2 linked regions of the Stegostoma tigrinum genome follow. The protein of the gene in region 1 interacts with the protein of each later gene in a pairwise test. Links are inferred from orthologs where the notes say so. Each region holds a gene or a part of one and is shown in the gene's direction. Other genes may lie near its edges.

Region 1 (7,546 bases):
TTGATTTAGTGTTGAAGTTTTTAATAGCATCAAAAGCAGACCACCCACAGGCCAAGAAGATCTATTAACATATCAAAATAGTAGGGTGCCTGAGACCTGCTACCTTCTCTTCAATGTGACAATTGAATTGTCTGATCACATGGAGATTATTTTATCTGTTGTTCTTATGAATTGGGCAACAATGTGCATTTCTGGAGCAAACTCTATAACTGCATGTAGCCTTTCTTTAATTTCCTCTTCTTTCTGAAAGTAAATGCATGTTGGCAAAGCCTGTAGTTGCAGATTAAGAGCATTGTGGATATTCATTGTGCTTTCTGGAAGGAAGCATAGAGTCATCACTGCCCTCTATTGTCAAAAATGGAATAGCCAGATATTTTAACGACCAGTGTTGAAGCTACTGATCAGTTAAATAACACATTCCTGAAATGTCTTCTGCTACTGCTGATATGAAATAAAACTATACCCAGACCTTCTTGGTCAAAATAACTGGCACGACTGTTTATTGTAGGAAACATGGGATAATTAAATAAGAATTACTTGAAAGTGATTATTAAAAAGATTTATAACTTCTTAAATGGTGCTATAAATACAGAAACATTCTGATTAAAATATTGGGATTGCAAAGTAGATGTCAATGTAAAATTCAAGGCGATGCAAAAAATCCATCTGAAGATTGTTTTGGGTACATTCTGTAGTCAGTAGAAACATTCCTCTGAGCCAGTGATTACAAAACATTCAGCAAGCACTTTTGAAAAGCATGGTTTTAGACATCAGGTCAATATTGTTTGCGTTTTAGTTCGTTTCCTACACCTAAATACTTACAACTCCTGCTGATGAGGATGGCAGTAAGAAATTGTTCAAAATAAAGTCTGCCTTCCAATGTTAAAATGTATGTAAAGACAAAAGGTAAGGAACAAAATGATGCAAATACACAGTAAAACTCAATTTATCACCTGGCAGCCAAAGGTACCTCAATTCTTATTAATTGTTTGATTTGCGTTGACCTGTATAATTTGTGTTTATGATCCTCGTCTTCTCACATACTTTTAAGGGCATGTTAATAGGACACCTATAAGGAATGCATTTGGATTATTTCTAGCATTGACAAGCTGATTGGTTGATATTTTCCTCGTCCGTTTTTCAGTAATAAAAGAAATTGACCTATTATAAGTTTCACTAAATGTAATTCAGTACTTCAAGGTCCTTATTGATTCACTATTACTTCATTGCAGTATTCTAGTTTACAATATTAGCTTGTTAAGACAGTACTCTTCAAAATTGTTTTGAACATTTTTGCATTTATGGTTCACATAAGAAGACACCTGTGACTATTGTAAACCTTACAGCATGGCAAAAATAACCAGAATTAAAAGGGCAAAGCAAAGCACAATACTTATATCCATTTGAGCATAAGTTTTTAAATTGGGTGATTAGTGCATTTTAATGCTACGCTCCATATTAGATTTTTGAATTTACAGATCATTAGTGCATAAAGAGTACTGCATGAAGTTAATATTTTAAAGTGGCACCAGTACTTTATGGGTTAACATAGTTGTGCTGAGACGTGGATTGGTCATTAATAGAGCAGTTGATATTAATCTGAATTAATTTAGAAATTAATATTCTGATTTTGTGAGTGTGGTACCATTTTCATGCAATTTGTGATCTACTTCCCACAATTAATGAGTGTTCTGCCTGGTTGGATGTAAGAATTAGACAAATGTGAAATACTAATATTAATTGGAACAAATATACCAGCAAATGCCACCACTTTCCTTATAGAAATGTCATTTTGTTTGGGAGGGTGGAAATTTTCTGTTGATACTTTTATCAGTGCGTCAGAAAGATATGCAGCATGGTTCAGTAATAGTTTTTAGGGTGCCCTTTTCTGTTAGTGCACGTATTGCTAAGATTCTTTGTGAACCCTGTCTCCATAAAAGTGAGGCATTTTTACATGGTAGACATTGTGTGGTCATTAGACTACTTACATTGTCGTTCCATTGAACAATGACATGTTTACACTGGCTTTATGAAGAAATGTATTCTGTATATGAATACACAGCAGATTGCTTATGCTTGCTTCTGTGCTTATTGCCAAACATTGGGTTAATGTAAAGCTTGTGTTCAGAAAGGATGCAGAATTCTCACGTTAACAAGTACAAAGTGGCTGGGTCTGTGCCGAAGCAGATTCTGCAGGTTCTGTTTGTACACACTGGCCAGTTGACACAGTCCCACCAAAAAGCTGAATTCGACACAAATAAATATGAAATGTGTCGAGGTGGTCAATACCACATGATCCAGGCCATTGCACATGATAACATTTCTTCTAAGCAGCACATCAGAGATGAAGTAGATTGTTGGTATGTACTGTCAGGACAGCATATAACAATATCAAAGTCTGGTCATGTGCAATTGATGGAGCTAGGTGCATGGTTGCTCCTCCTGTTTGTAATCAGAAAGGATGAAAAAAAGATGTTTTGTCATTATATATATACAACAGTTTTTTAAAGGGATATGTGGAAAATAGAATAAACATCACATTTCTATTTAAAATGTTCACTTGGGTGATTTGAAAGTCAAAGGAGCTTGTACAATCATGCGGTGTTTTATCTGAAGAGCTAGCTATAAATGTAGTGTGAGGAGAGTTTGTGTATCTTGGCTGTGAAAATCTGGGAAAAGGACCATACTTCAATTGCCTACAATGCCAGAAACTTCCAAATTGACCAGTGAATGCTGTTTTCAAATGGCATTTTTTAATGTGGATGATGATATTAAATCACAGTGTTTGGTTTGAATTTTGGATAAGTTGAATTTAAATTGTAAGATAAAAAGAAGTATGAAAATTAAAAACATAAAAAGTGCAGAAGTTTTGTTTCCAAATACATTTTCTGTTTCGTTAGACAAATCTGTGAATTATAACAACAGTTATTAGGGAGCAAGCATTTGGTCTATGATACATGGCAAATATATGTGGACAGTTCATTTCTAAAATCTGGATGCAATGAAATTGTATACTGATGAAATCTCAACTGAATGTGATCATTATCTATACAGTACTTGGAGAGAATTCTTCTTTGTTAAATATTTTTAACTTGCATTGAGTGATTAACAAACACTTTAGGAAACACTTGCAAAAAATGCAGTTGCCAGCATAATTGTGCCTGCAGAATGGTTAATTTGACATCAGAAGCAATTCTGAGGCAGCTTTGCTTTTGGACGGTAAAAAGGGTTTACATTGGGTTAACGGAATGCAGGGAGACAGCCAGCTGTTGGAGCTCGCATCACTTGAAGGAGACCCTGATTGGAGGAGCTGTATTTCAGAACAGTTCTTGCAATGGGTTTGACGCCGGTTAGCCTTTCTACAATTGCTTCAAGCCAGATTGTCGTATTGCTCTGTAGCAAGCAATTCATGTCAACACAGTAAAGATATTGGTGTTTGTACAGGGGAAGCATTTATCATCTTACTTTTAGTGAATCTTTAGTTTCAAGTTGGATAGGAAGGTGTGATTTTTCCCTAAATGTGATTCGTCAGTTTTCTTCTGAATTTGCGAGAAAGAAAAAAAATCACTTTGGGAAATTTTGAAAATATGTAAGTAATGTAGCTGGTTAATTTGTAAAACTATTAGCCAATGTAGACTGATAAATTTTGAAAAGGTAAAAATACAAGTGAGCCCTTTCAGAGCAGCTTTCAGATTATGGTGCATTTTGAATATAGATTTTAATCATTTAAGAAAAAGAGAGGACTGTGCTTGCCTATAAACAGCTTTGAGCAAAGCTATACAGTTATGATTTTTGGGAAAGACCGTTCAGCTTTAAATGAAGTTAAAAACCCTTTTGTCTATTTTACATGAAAGGATGCTAAAATGACTTGCAGTAATGCATTCTGTAAATTTACATCAAGACAGTTTTTCTACTGTACAAGGGTTTTGAAAATACAGATCAAATAATTGTGACAGATTTGTAGTAAAATATATTATGTTAGCACAGTCAATTCTATTTACTGTAACTTCTCAAAGAAGCAAATGGATAATTGTCCCTTCAAGCCTGTTTTGAAAACTGTATTTTCAGACGGATGGAAAACTGTGTTTTAAACGCTGCACTGTACAAGGCTGTGGAATTTTGCTTCCCTCCTCCCAGTTTAGAGACTTCCCGCCTACTGTACCTGCATTGCTTCCCTAAGCCAGTGTAGGAATTGTCCTGTCTGCAGTGCTTTACTCTGAGTGGCTGCAATCCCACCAATGCGCTGACTGGTGAGGTCGGGGATTGCATATGTAAAGACCTGCTTCATATTAATAAGCTACAATCGGGACTTTAAGACCTTGATTAGGAGAGTGCGAGTCTGGTCCCAGCTGGCTTTGCCTATAGGCTGTCACCAGAGAACATTTGTGTTAATTGCGCCACTCTGTCAGGGAACTTTGATTTATTGCCAGGAGTGTGGGCTCGAATAATGGTGCTGAGCGCACATGGATTTGGTAGAACTTTGTCTCCCTGAATCTTTTTCTCTCCACTACGACGAAGAGTAGGTACCTTTTTATTCCCATTCTGGGCTGTTTGTTTTGTAGGGTTGTAAGGGTTTGATGTATATGTGTATGTCCCTGTGTGTCTGTGCTGCTTGCTTGCATGTTTTGTGCCAGAATTATGTCCCACTCTGTCTGTGCAACGGATGTTCTCTGAATTATCTCCAGATTCCCAGAAGCAGTCTACTGTTATTGCATATTGTGCAGCTATTTGTAATTTAGCCAAAGATGTGAGAAAGCCAAAGGAATGGACGAGGGCTGTATTGTCAAATGCAATATGTATTTTCTGAATCTATTATACAGAAATTTTGAATGATTATTTTTAAGGAAGCAAGGACTTTAAAAATGCTTTCTTGATTTTTTTGGTCTAAAAGCTAATTTGTATGATTTTTAAAAAATATAATCTGCTTAATGTAGTTGCATTGGAATGAAATTCATTCACATGGTCTTTGTTTTTGAATCTAAGAAGGGATTTTTTAACTGTGACAGCTTGCAGCAAAAAAAAGGGGACGGGGAAAATAAGCTGTTCCTTGATCTCAGTTAGCTGACAACTTGTCTCAAGTTCTTTCACTTTTCATTGTATCATTCATCTCTTTAAATGATTGCCCCTGTTCAAGTCAGCAACAGGCTCGGTATAGGACGAACGTCACAAACCTGTATGAAAATACCTACACATCTTAACATTTCGGAGTTATGTTTCTGCTGTACGGCTGTTTTTGCATATTTGCACTGAGCTTTAAATATTGCAAGAGGTCAGAGATGCAGGATGTACATAATGACAACCTTGCATTTACAGCGAATACGGCTGTTTAGTGTGTTCATTTAAATGTATTTTCCGGCACTCTTTTGTTGTCAGAGCCTCCTATGCTACAGTAATTAACCTGCAGTAAAAAAAACCTTTGCAACTCCGGATTCCATTTCCTACCAAAGCTATTTTTAACAAGTCTTTATATTCACTAAACATTATAGACCTGCAGAAGGCTAGCTATAATATTTTAATTGCAAAGTCTGAGGAATAACAATATATTTTTGATCTGCTGAATGTGTCTCTGTGCCACTGTGGTTAAGCTCTCCAGAGGAAATAGCCGATTACACTGAAGCAGTTTGTGCAATATTATCTCTTTTACATTCACTCGCCTTGTATTAAATTGTCATTGTCCTAAACCAAGAGAGAAATGAATTGCAGCTTTCAATGCTGTCTGGCAGTGAAATATTTACCCCCTGTGTCCCCAATCATACTTCACGTGTGTTTGATAATGTGACTCCGACATGAACAATCTCACTGGCTTGATGCTCAGTTATTGCATCTTCCTTTGCTTCTCCTTCCCTGGACTTCAAGTGACACAAAAAGAAAGTTGATTCCTAATGGCTCTTTCTCTCACTACTGTGTTTATATTGAAATACCTGTTCATCCGTTATCAAGTGTCACATCAAGTACAAGCAAAATGTAAACTGATATAAGATACGTTAAAGGGTGGTACAGTGAGTCAGATTTAGCTGTTTTGTGACAAAATGGCATTTCCTTAAATGACCGCACAAGCTGTTGTGGCACGAGCAGGACGCAATGCTTTGTTGCGGTGGCCTCTTTACTGTACCCATATGGAGTGATGTAACTGGCTTCAGACTGTATTAGTCGGTAGAGCCTTACAGATCAGCACTGTCAGATTTTAACATTAGTATGAATGACACCTGTCCAATCAATCATGTGGTCACAGCTCCACAAATGGAGTGGGCCTTTGCCTACTTTAACATGCTGCTGAATCACAGAGTTCTCTTGGATTAATTTGTACTATTCTTTCTGGAAAACAAGAGGAAAGGCTCATTGCACACTTTAGGGCAGTTTGCAGACATAAAAGTGTGTATATGAGAGGGGGAGGAGGTTGGAGATAGCTGGCGCACTGGCAAGTGCTATAATTGGCTTTACTGTTAAACTAATCCCAGCAGGTTGCACAGATAAGACATTTCAGAACAACTATATGTCTAGCTTCACTTGAGGCTCAATGCCAGTGTTGTCCACTTGTCCAGTCTGTGAATTCTCATGCAGATAACTAAAACCGTGCCTTTGTACCTGAGTATTATTAAAGATCCATGTATTGTTTTGAGTTATTCTACTCACTCATATATTATACTTCGTCTAACTTGTAAATTACAATGTGTTTTTAACAAATAGTTTTGTACAAGATACAAACACAACATTTCAGGAGTTCAGAAGATAAATCTCAACTTGGTACATAATTTATGCTTATTTTAATCACGAAAGTCAAACAAGCCTTTACAGTTTTACTGGGCAAAGGCTGCAGCATTTATTAATTTGGTTACATACTCTTTGTGACACCTTATTATATCATGTTTAGACCTCAGATAACCCAGAAAATATCAAATGTATTAATTGTCCTGTTCAGCTACTCAGGAAAATGATGAGAGCGTTGAAATGTTGATACATTTTGAATAGGCACGGGCAATCAATTCTCGAGGCAGCTTGTTACCCAGTGTGAATAAAATACCAAGTTTTACATCAGTGAAACTCAATGATTCATACTTTGGATTTCAATTCAAACAGCAGTAAGCCATGCTGTGCCATCTCAGTGTTTGCATTTTTTTTTCCTCCTTGCAACAGTATTGGATAACTCAACTGAGGAGACATGCGTAAAATGACTACCTCTTTTCAAATTCGATTTAGTACAGCTATTTCATTTTCATTCAGTCTGCTTTAGGCAAGTATGCAATTCAGAGCGTTGGTTTTTTCAATTTGTTCCAGTAAGCATTTAAAATAATTCATTCCTAAGCTCCAAAGATTTGAGTTTTATATACCCAAAAAAGTTTCAAAACTACTTTAGATAGCCAAAGGCTGTTTTATTTAAAATGGGGTTTATTTATTAAGCCCCATTTCTGAAACATTTTTTATGTGTAAAAGCTTAAAAGTTGCAGTAATTTAATAATGCTTCAGTTGACTGCTGCTAAACTCTGGGATAGTCCCTGTAGACATTGCAATTAATATATGGACCTTTTTGATAATTTTTTAAAAATTC
Region 2 (7,641 bases), on another chromosome or scaffold:
CTCTTCGTTGATCAAACCAAACTTAAAAAAAATCAAGCTATGAAATTTTGGAATGAAGTTCTACCTTGGTACAACAGCTATTGAGTGGATCTTTTAAAATACACAAAACAAAAGAAGCGAGGTCAAATTGAATGTACGTCACTTAGAGAACAAAACTGAGGAAATAAAAGTGGGAACCAGGAAATAACAGAGATGGATACATACTTTGCTACAGTTTTTTTACAGTAGAAGTTACTAATGGTATTCCAAAATTACTAAATAAAATCAAGGAGCAAAGGAAGAAGAGGAAGTAAGTACAACAACTATCACTGGAGGAAAAAAAAAGAAAAAGAAAAAGAAAAAGAACTGGGGAAACTAATGGGGCCCAAGACTGATGAGTCCCCTAAACCTGATGGTTTGCATCTCAGATTGTTATAAAGATAATGCGTGCATTGGTAGAAATCTTCCCAGAATTCTCTGTTTCTCGCTCTCTCCAAATATACTAAGATGGCAGCAGTGGAATAGGCAGCCCTTGGGCTCTGAGCCTGGGGCTTGTCCAGATGTAGACGGTAATCAAGACACTAATGGAATGATGGCCTTCATTCATAAAGGCTTGACAATAGGCATGTAGATGTTATGCTGCAGTTATATAAAACCCTGGTTAGACCCCAATCCAGAGTGCTGTGAGCAGATCTGGGCATCAGGTTTGGCCCCTGGAGGGAGTTCAATGTAGGTTTACAAGGACAGGACCTGGACTATAGGATTTAAGTTATGAGTAGAGCTTAGACAAATGAGGCCTTTATTGTCTAGAATTTAGAAGGGGTGATCTAGTTGAGGTCTTCAGGATATTAACAGGGAAAGATAGAGTAGATAAAGGTAAACTATTTCCACTGGTTGAAGATTCTAGAGCCAAGGGGCATAGTCAAAAAATTAGGGTCAGGCCATTCAGGAAAGATGTCAGAAAGCACTCTTTCTCAAATGGCGGTCAATGCTAATTCAATTGTTAAGTTTAAATCTGAGATAGACAAATTTTTAGTAAATAGCATGGCGGCACCAGGGGCCTGGGTTCGATTCCAGCCTCGGGCGACAGTTTGTATGGAGTTTGCACGTTCTCCCTGTGTCAGCGTGGGTTTCCTCCAAGAGTCCAAATATATGCAGGTTAGGTGGATTGGCCATGCTAAATCGCGCATAGTGTCCAGCAATGAATGCATTATCCATGGGAAATGCAGGGTGAGAGGGTAGAGTGGTGAGTCAGTATGGGATACACTTTGGAAAGTCGATGCAGACTTCTTGGGCTGAACGGCTTGTGTCCACACAGTAGGGATTCTATAATACAGGGATATGGGCCGCGAAGGCAGGTATACAGAGTTAGACCACTGATCTTATTGAATGTTGGAGCAGTCTCGAAGGGCTGTATGGCCAACTCCTGGTCCCATTGCTTTAAACCAAGGAAACAAAAATAATTGGTAACACGTTGAGGGTAATATAGTATATTATTTTGGTGGAGCGGTGAGGCAAAGGTCTAACTAAATTGGCACCATCTATATGTCAAGGCAACTCTGCCTAGGGACAATTTTGGAATGGCTTCTCAATTGGCACCAGTTGTGTTGGGTTTATGAGGGCCCAGCACAGTAATAAACTCTTGACTGGTTCAAGAGACTCTTGCCACATGTATGTATGTGCAGGAGAAACAATTAACCTGCAAAAAGAAAGTAACCAACTCTCTTTCTCTCCCTTTTGTTGTGGGCATGGAAAATAAAACTGCTAACAACCAACTGTTCTTCTTCAGAGAAAGCAGGACCTGCAGATGCTGGAGAATCTGAGATAAGAAGGTGCAGAGCTTAATGAACACAGCAGGCCAAGCAGCGTCAAAGGAGCAGGAAAACTGACATTTCGGGCCTGGACCCTTCTTCAGAAAATTCTTCCCCATACTTCTTTTGTCAGCTGATCTCTCTGGATATACGCAGTGGGAAGGGAAAGGGAAATTAGCATCAGTGAGACTGAAAAGGTGAATTTTCAGCCAGTGAATGAAAGACTGAGGATGGAATATGAGGTGCTGCTCCTCCAGTTTACCGGTGGCATCATTCAGACACTGGAGGAGGCCCAGGATGGACATGTCGGCCGGGGAATGGGAAGGGGAGTTGAAGTGGTTCGCAACTGGGAGGTGTTGTTGTTTGTCGCGAACTAAGCATAGGTGCTGTACAAAGCGGTCTCCGAGCCTCCGCTTGGTCTCCCCGATGTAGAGGAGGCCACATCGGGAACAGTGGATACAATAGACCACATTAGCAGATACGCTGGTGAACATCTGTTTAATGTGGAAGGTTTTCTGGGGGCCTGAGATGGGGCTGAGGGGGAAGGTGTAGGGACAGGTGTAGCACTTCCTGTGGTTACAGGGAAAGGTGCTGGGGGTGGTGGGGCTGGTGGGGAGTGGGGACAGATGCGGAGAGAGCGATCCCTCCAGAAGGCAGATAAGGATGGGGAGGAAAACATATCCTTTATAATGGGGCCGGGGTGGTGGGGCTAGTGGGGGGTGCCAGGGGTGGTGGGGCTTGGAGGTGCTACACCTGCCCCTATACCTGCCCCCTTACCTCCATCCCAGGCCCCAAAAAAACCTTCCACATGAAACAGATGTTCACCTGCATATCCGTTAATGTGGTCTATTGTATCCACTGTTCCCAAAGTGGCCTCCTGTACATCGGGGAGACCAAGCAGAGGCTCGGCGACCACTTTGTGGAGCACCAATGCTTGGTTCGCAACATACGACAACACCTCCCAGTCGTGAACGACTTCAACTCCTCCTCCCACTCCTTGGACGACATGTCCATCCTGGGCCTCCTCCAGTGTCTCAAGGGTACCACCCGGAAACTCGGGGAACAGCACCTCATATTCCGCCTTGGAACCCTCCAACCCAATGGTCTCAATGTGGACTTTATGAGCTTCTAAATCTCCCCACCCCCAACCTCATCCCAAAACTAACCCCCCCATCCCCGCCTCCTTGATCTGTCCATCTTCTCTCCCACCTATCCGCTTCTCCCTCCTCACTGACCAACCCCATCCCCACTTCCCATCTACACTCACCTTTACTAGCTTCATCTCCACCTCCTTGACCTGTCCGTCTTCTCTCCCACCTATCAGCTCCACTATCCACCTTCTTTCACTGCACCTCTATTTATTTCAGAGGCCCATCTCCCATTTCTTAAGGGTCCAAACCTGAAACAACAGCTTTCCTGCTCCTCTAATGCTGCTTGGCCCGCTGTATTCCTCCAGTTCCACACCCTGTTATCTCAGACTCCAGCATCGACTGTTCCTACTGTCTGAAAGAGATATTTCTTTTATATTCCTTCCTTCGCTGTCAGATATCCACCTTGCACCACTGATAGTTCTCTCCGCTTGGTCTCCCCAATGAGAGAGTAAGGAGATCCAAAACTGTACACAATACTGCAGGTGCGGTGTAACTAAGCGTCTGTACATTTTTGGTTACAAATTATCAGTGAAGTGAGCACTGATTATCTTTAAATACTGGATCAGCATTTAGGGTGGCATTTGGGCAGTTCTTTTAAAAATGGAAAAAAAAGGACAGCGACAACGCAATGCAATGGAGAAACAAATATTAGACTGTTTGTGTAATTGTGCAACAATATAATGAATAAACATTAGCGAGTAAATAAAGTGTGGAGCTGGATGAACACAGCAGGCCAAGCAGCATCTCAGGAGCACAAAAGCTGACGTTTCGGGCCTAGACCCTCTCTGATGAAGGGTCTAGGCCCGAAACGTCAGCTTTTGTGCTCCTGGGATGCTGCTTTGCCTGCTGTGTACATCCAGCTCCACACTTTATTAACTTGGATTCTCCAGCATCTGCAGTTCCCATTATCTCTGATACAACGTTAGCAAGTATCTTGTTTTTGGACATTCTAATTTTTACTACGGCGATAGTAATTGACTTCGCAACCACGATAGTACACTGCAACAAACAATAGGTACTGGAACAAAAACAGAAATTGTTGGAAAGGTCTGGCAGCATCTGTGAAAAAAAAATCAATTAACATTGCGGGTCCGGTGTTCCGAGGAATGGTCACCGGAACCGAGACGAGAACTCGGAATTTTTTTCTTCACAGATGCTGCCAACCCTATTAAGCATTTCCAGCAATTTCTGCTTTTACAGTAGTACTGGGCTATGCTGAGGATATGAAAACGACTGTAAGGTGCAAGCTCAGTTTCCTCCTAAGCGACAGTAAATACCAGGGGGAATGTTCCAGTCTTGCAACTCACGTCTAACGTGTATTCAACGTTTGCGGTTTCCGCTGATTGGTGGCGATTTAATGAGATGCTGTTCCAATTTTAAACCACCCAATGAGATTAAACGTTAAAAAAAGGGCCCACACTCGTTCAATAAGGAGAGCAGCCATCTTGGACGGTGAAAAGGAAGCAAACTACATCAAAGGGCACATGGAATAGCCTGACGGTACCAGCGACAATAACAAAAACCAAACATAAACCCGAAATGTCAGCGGCTACTGCTCCAGCCCGTGGGGCGGCATAGAAACGGATTGGCCACTGCGGTGTCTCCATCAGTGGCTCGAGAGCTGATTGGTCAGGGTGAAGTATCCGTTGGTAGTTATTTGCACTCCGATTGGCCAGGATTGTGTAGCGAGTCGGAGCTGAAGCATTTCTGATTGGCTGCCAGGCGGCTACTTGTCTCCGGATTCCATTTTCTGCTACATCGAGGGGGTGGAGCAGCTGTGGGCAGAGAGTGACCGGGAACGTAGTTCTGTGTGCGGATTTTCAATTTAGATAGCGCCGGGCCCTGTGTAAGTACCAAGTACGCGAGAGTCCGAGCCTGGAAGGGTCAGCGTGGGGGGAGCTGTTGTTAATGATCCTCTTTCTTTCTTTCTCTCTCCCCTCCCCCAAACTAGGCTCTGTCTTTTGTTTGCGCTCTCTCTTGCCCCTCCTTCCCGACCTGTTTCTCTCGATCGGGGAAAATTTCTTGCCGCCTGGCTTACCTCAGTGCGAGTAGTACCTAGAAACTTGTCAAGTAGGGGCTCAGACCAAATTGTGTTGGGCTCAAATACCTACCACCCCCCCGAAGGCTTGGAAAAAATGCGCTGATGTTGTTAAATGGCCGTTTTCTAGTCCCGTGATCAGGAAATTCCGTAGCAAAAAGGGGGAGGGGAAGGTCTAAAACTGTACACAGTTTACCAGTAGTTTTTAAAATTGGATTCTTGGTCGAAAATTTCCTCCACTTTGTTACTTTTTGGTCAGTGTTTTGTTTTCTGAGCTCTTTCTTTCTTATTGCTTCTGAAGGGTGTGAACTGTACGGAACCGTGTGTGCCGAGCAGACCCATGTTGTGCTTGGCTGCACCATCTTCTGTCGGAGTTCTGCTGATGCAAATTCCTACTTGGGGAAAATCACCAAGATTCACCAAAAGTGAGAATTTCCTTATAACCTGGCGTCGAAGTTTCCAGAAAGCTTTGGACGAGAAGATCGACAAGTTTTGGGATTTTTCGACGAAGAGGTTGGTGTCTTGGGGGGAAAAGAGAGACTCCTGCACGTCGGCAAAGACTGAACAAACTTTTAAAAACGTTCCTGCTTTTAAAAAGTTATTAATCTCTTGACTCCGATTCTTGGTTGCAATCTTTTCTAGAGCTTGACTAGCTGTTAAATCAGAGTGGAAAATAATCAGTTAAGATAGTTACATTTTACAACATCCGCAGTTCATTCCTTAGTGGCCTTCGGTCTTTCACGGGATATGGATGTCGTGGGAGAAATATCGTATTTCTTCAATTTGTTCACGTTCATATTCCTATTCAGTGTTTCAGAAATATTAACGTTTGTAGCTGGGCGATCTTACCTTTAGAATTGCAGTTGGACTCCTCTGAACTTGGTAGTGTATTTCAAAACACGTTTTTAATCCATTTTCATCCTCTCTGATGAAGGGTCTAGGCCCGAAACGTCAGTTTTTGTGCTCCTGAGATGCTGCTTGGCCTGCTGTGTTCATCCAGCCTCACATTTTATTATCTTTAATCCATTTTACATCCTTTAACTGTCTCTCAAATCCAGTGGTTGTAAGTCTTCCTCACCTTGTTTCACGGGTCGTGCGTTGTCAGCCGGAAGGACACAATTTTTTTTAAATAAAGTTACAGCTGAATCATTAAAACCCAGAGGTTTCTGTTAGTTGCATCTAAACACTGGGTGACTAAAGGAGTAATTCTTGTAAAACAATGGAAAGGCTTTCTGAAAAGTGACCATAGTGACATTATTTTTACTGTTTGCAACTGCAGTGATAGTGTCCTAGCATGTGGTTAACGTATAGCTGTTGCAGCTAGTACTCCAAAAGCAGTCGCATTGTTGCAAGTAGTTATTTTAACAAATGCAAAAAAAGTTAGGCCTGGCCCCAAACTGAAATGTTGTGGTATTGGTTCACCCTTTTAAGTACCCATTTTAATTTCTAAACATTTTGGTGCACGTTCAAGAGTTGGAATTAGAATTGACCATTTTTCTTCTAATTTTACAGGTGATAGTTTCTTTGGAGAAAAATGGGAGGTGTCGAAAGATTAAACATCCCAATATCCCAACCAAACCATGGGACTCCAAAGAGAAACCTGCACTTAAACAGCAGCAGACAAAAGAACAAGGATGATAATCTCTATCACATGAAAACAATGCACAAGAAAGGCGAGAAGGGACATGGACGATATCAATTTATTTCTGAAACATGTCAGGTTGTGCAGAAAGAAGGAAAGAATGTTATGCACTTTACTGCAAACAATCAGAGTTGGGAGGCAGTTCTGAGCAGCTCGAGCACACTGTTTAGGTTGCAGTCTGATCAAAATTATGCTGGAGCCAAGTTCAGTGAGCCACCATCACCAAGTGTACTACCCAAGCCTCCAAGCCATTGGGTACGTGTGCCCTTGGAGTCATCTGATCACAGTGAAATGACCTTTCAGTTGAAGACCATGCTAAAAGTGCAGGCATAGTCTGTAGACTTAAAAGGACCCCACTGCTGGAAACAGTTTCTAATTGGACTACATAATACAGGAGTTTTGGTGTTTGTTTTTTTTAAGAAAGCACTGCCTTTGATATCCTTCCAAGTTGGTTGTTTTTGGTGTGTATTGGCGCAGTTTTGTGTCCAGCAGTTGTACTGGAAGCTTGTTTCCTCCTCCTGTTCTGCCCTTTTTCTGTGAATAGGAAACAAATTTCAACTCAAAACATTGGAATTCCAATGTTTTGACTGAAGAATATTCCTGACTTTAGATCTAAAGATTTTGCTCCTATCAAAGTGTTGAATCAGCAATTTTGTTGGCCATCTTGTTTTTGCCCAACCACAGTTGGGCATATTTAGCAAGATGTGTATGTAGCTTCCTGCTGTAGAAGAATGTTTGTTTGGTTTTTATTACTTTTTTTGAAATTCCTGATATTAAATGGGTCCTGTCCTTATGAAGGATGATTGTTATGATGCAATAACCCATGAAGAATGTTTGTCAAAACATGAAGTTACATCTGCCAGTGGTAGATATGTTACCATATGTTAGGAGCCTGAGGTAAAAGCAATTTGTGCACTGTAGTGAAAAGTAAATGCTTAAATTTCCTCAGATTAACATGAGACCTTTTTCAAATATTCATTGTACCTGTCACCACATTTTTAATATAATACTGGAATACAA

The links. The genes of interacting proteins can lie anywhere in the genome.
Region 2: the proteins of esrrga (region 1) and pnrc2 interact in binary tests that used the Homo sapiens proteins (3 or more experiments, as listed by UniProt). The link is inferred for Stegostoma tigrinum from reciprocal best matches to the Homo sapiens genes ESRRG and PNRC2.

What each region holds. Positions count from the first base shown.
Region 1 is NC_081362.1:58,971,892-58,979,437, reverse strand, and holds the start of esrrga (estrogen-related receptor gamma a), read left to right. Parts: upstream 1-4,276; 5' UTR 4,277-4,463; coding exon 4,464-4,519; intron 4,520-7,546. UniProt on the Homo sapiens protein: Orphan receptor that acts as a transcription activator in the absence of bound ligand. Binds specifically to an estrogen response element and activates reporter genes controlled by estrogen response elements.
Region 2 is NC_081377.1:44,979,789-44,987,429, reverse strand, and holds the start of pnrc2 (proline-rich nuclear receptor coactivator 2), read left to right. Parts: upstream 1-4,381; 5' UTR 4,382-4,787; intron 4,788-5,280; 5' UTR 5,281-5,492; intron 5,493-6,491; 5' UTR 6,492-6,513; coding exon 6,514-6,954; 3' UTR 6,955-7,641. UniProt on the Homo sapiens protein: Involved in nonsense-mediated mRNA decay (NMD) by acting as a bridge between the mRNA decapping complex and the NMD machinery. May act by targeting the NMD machinery to the P-body and recruiting the decapping machinery to aberrant mRNAs.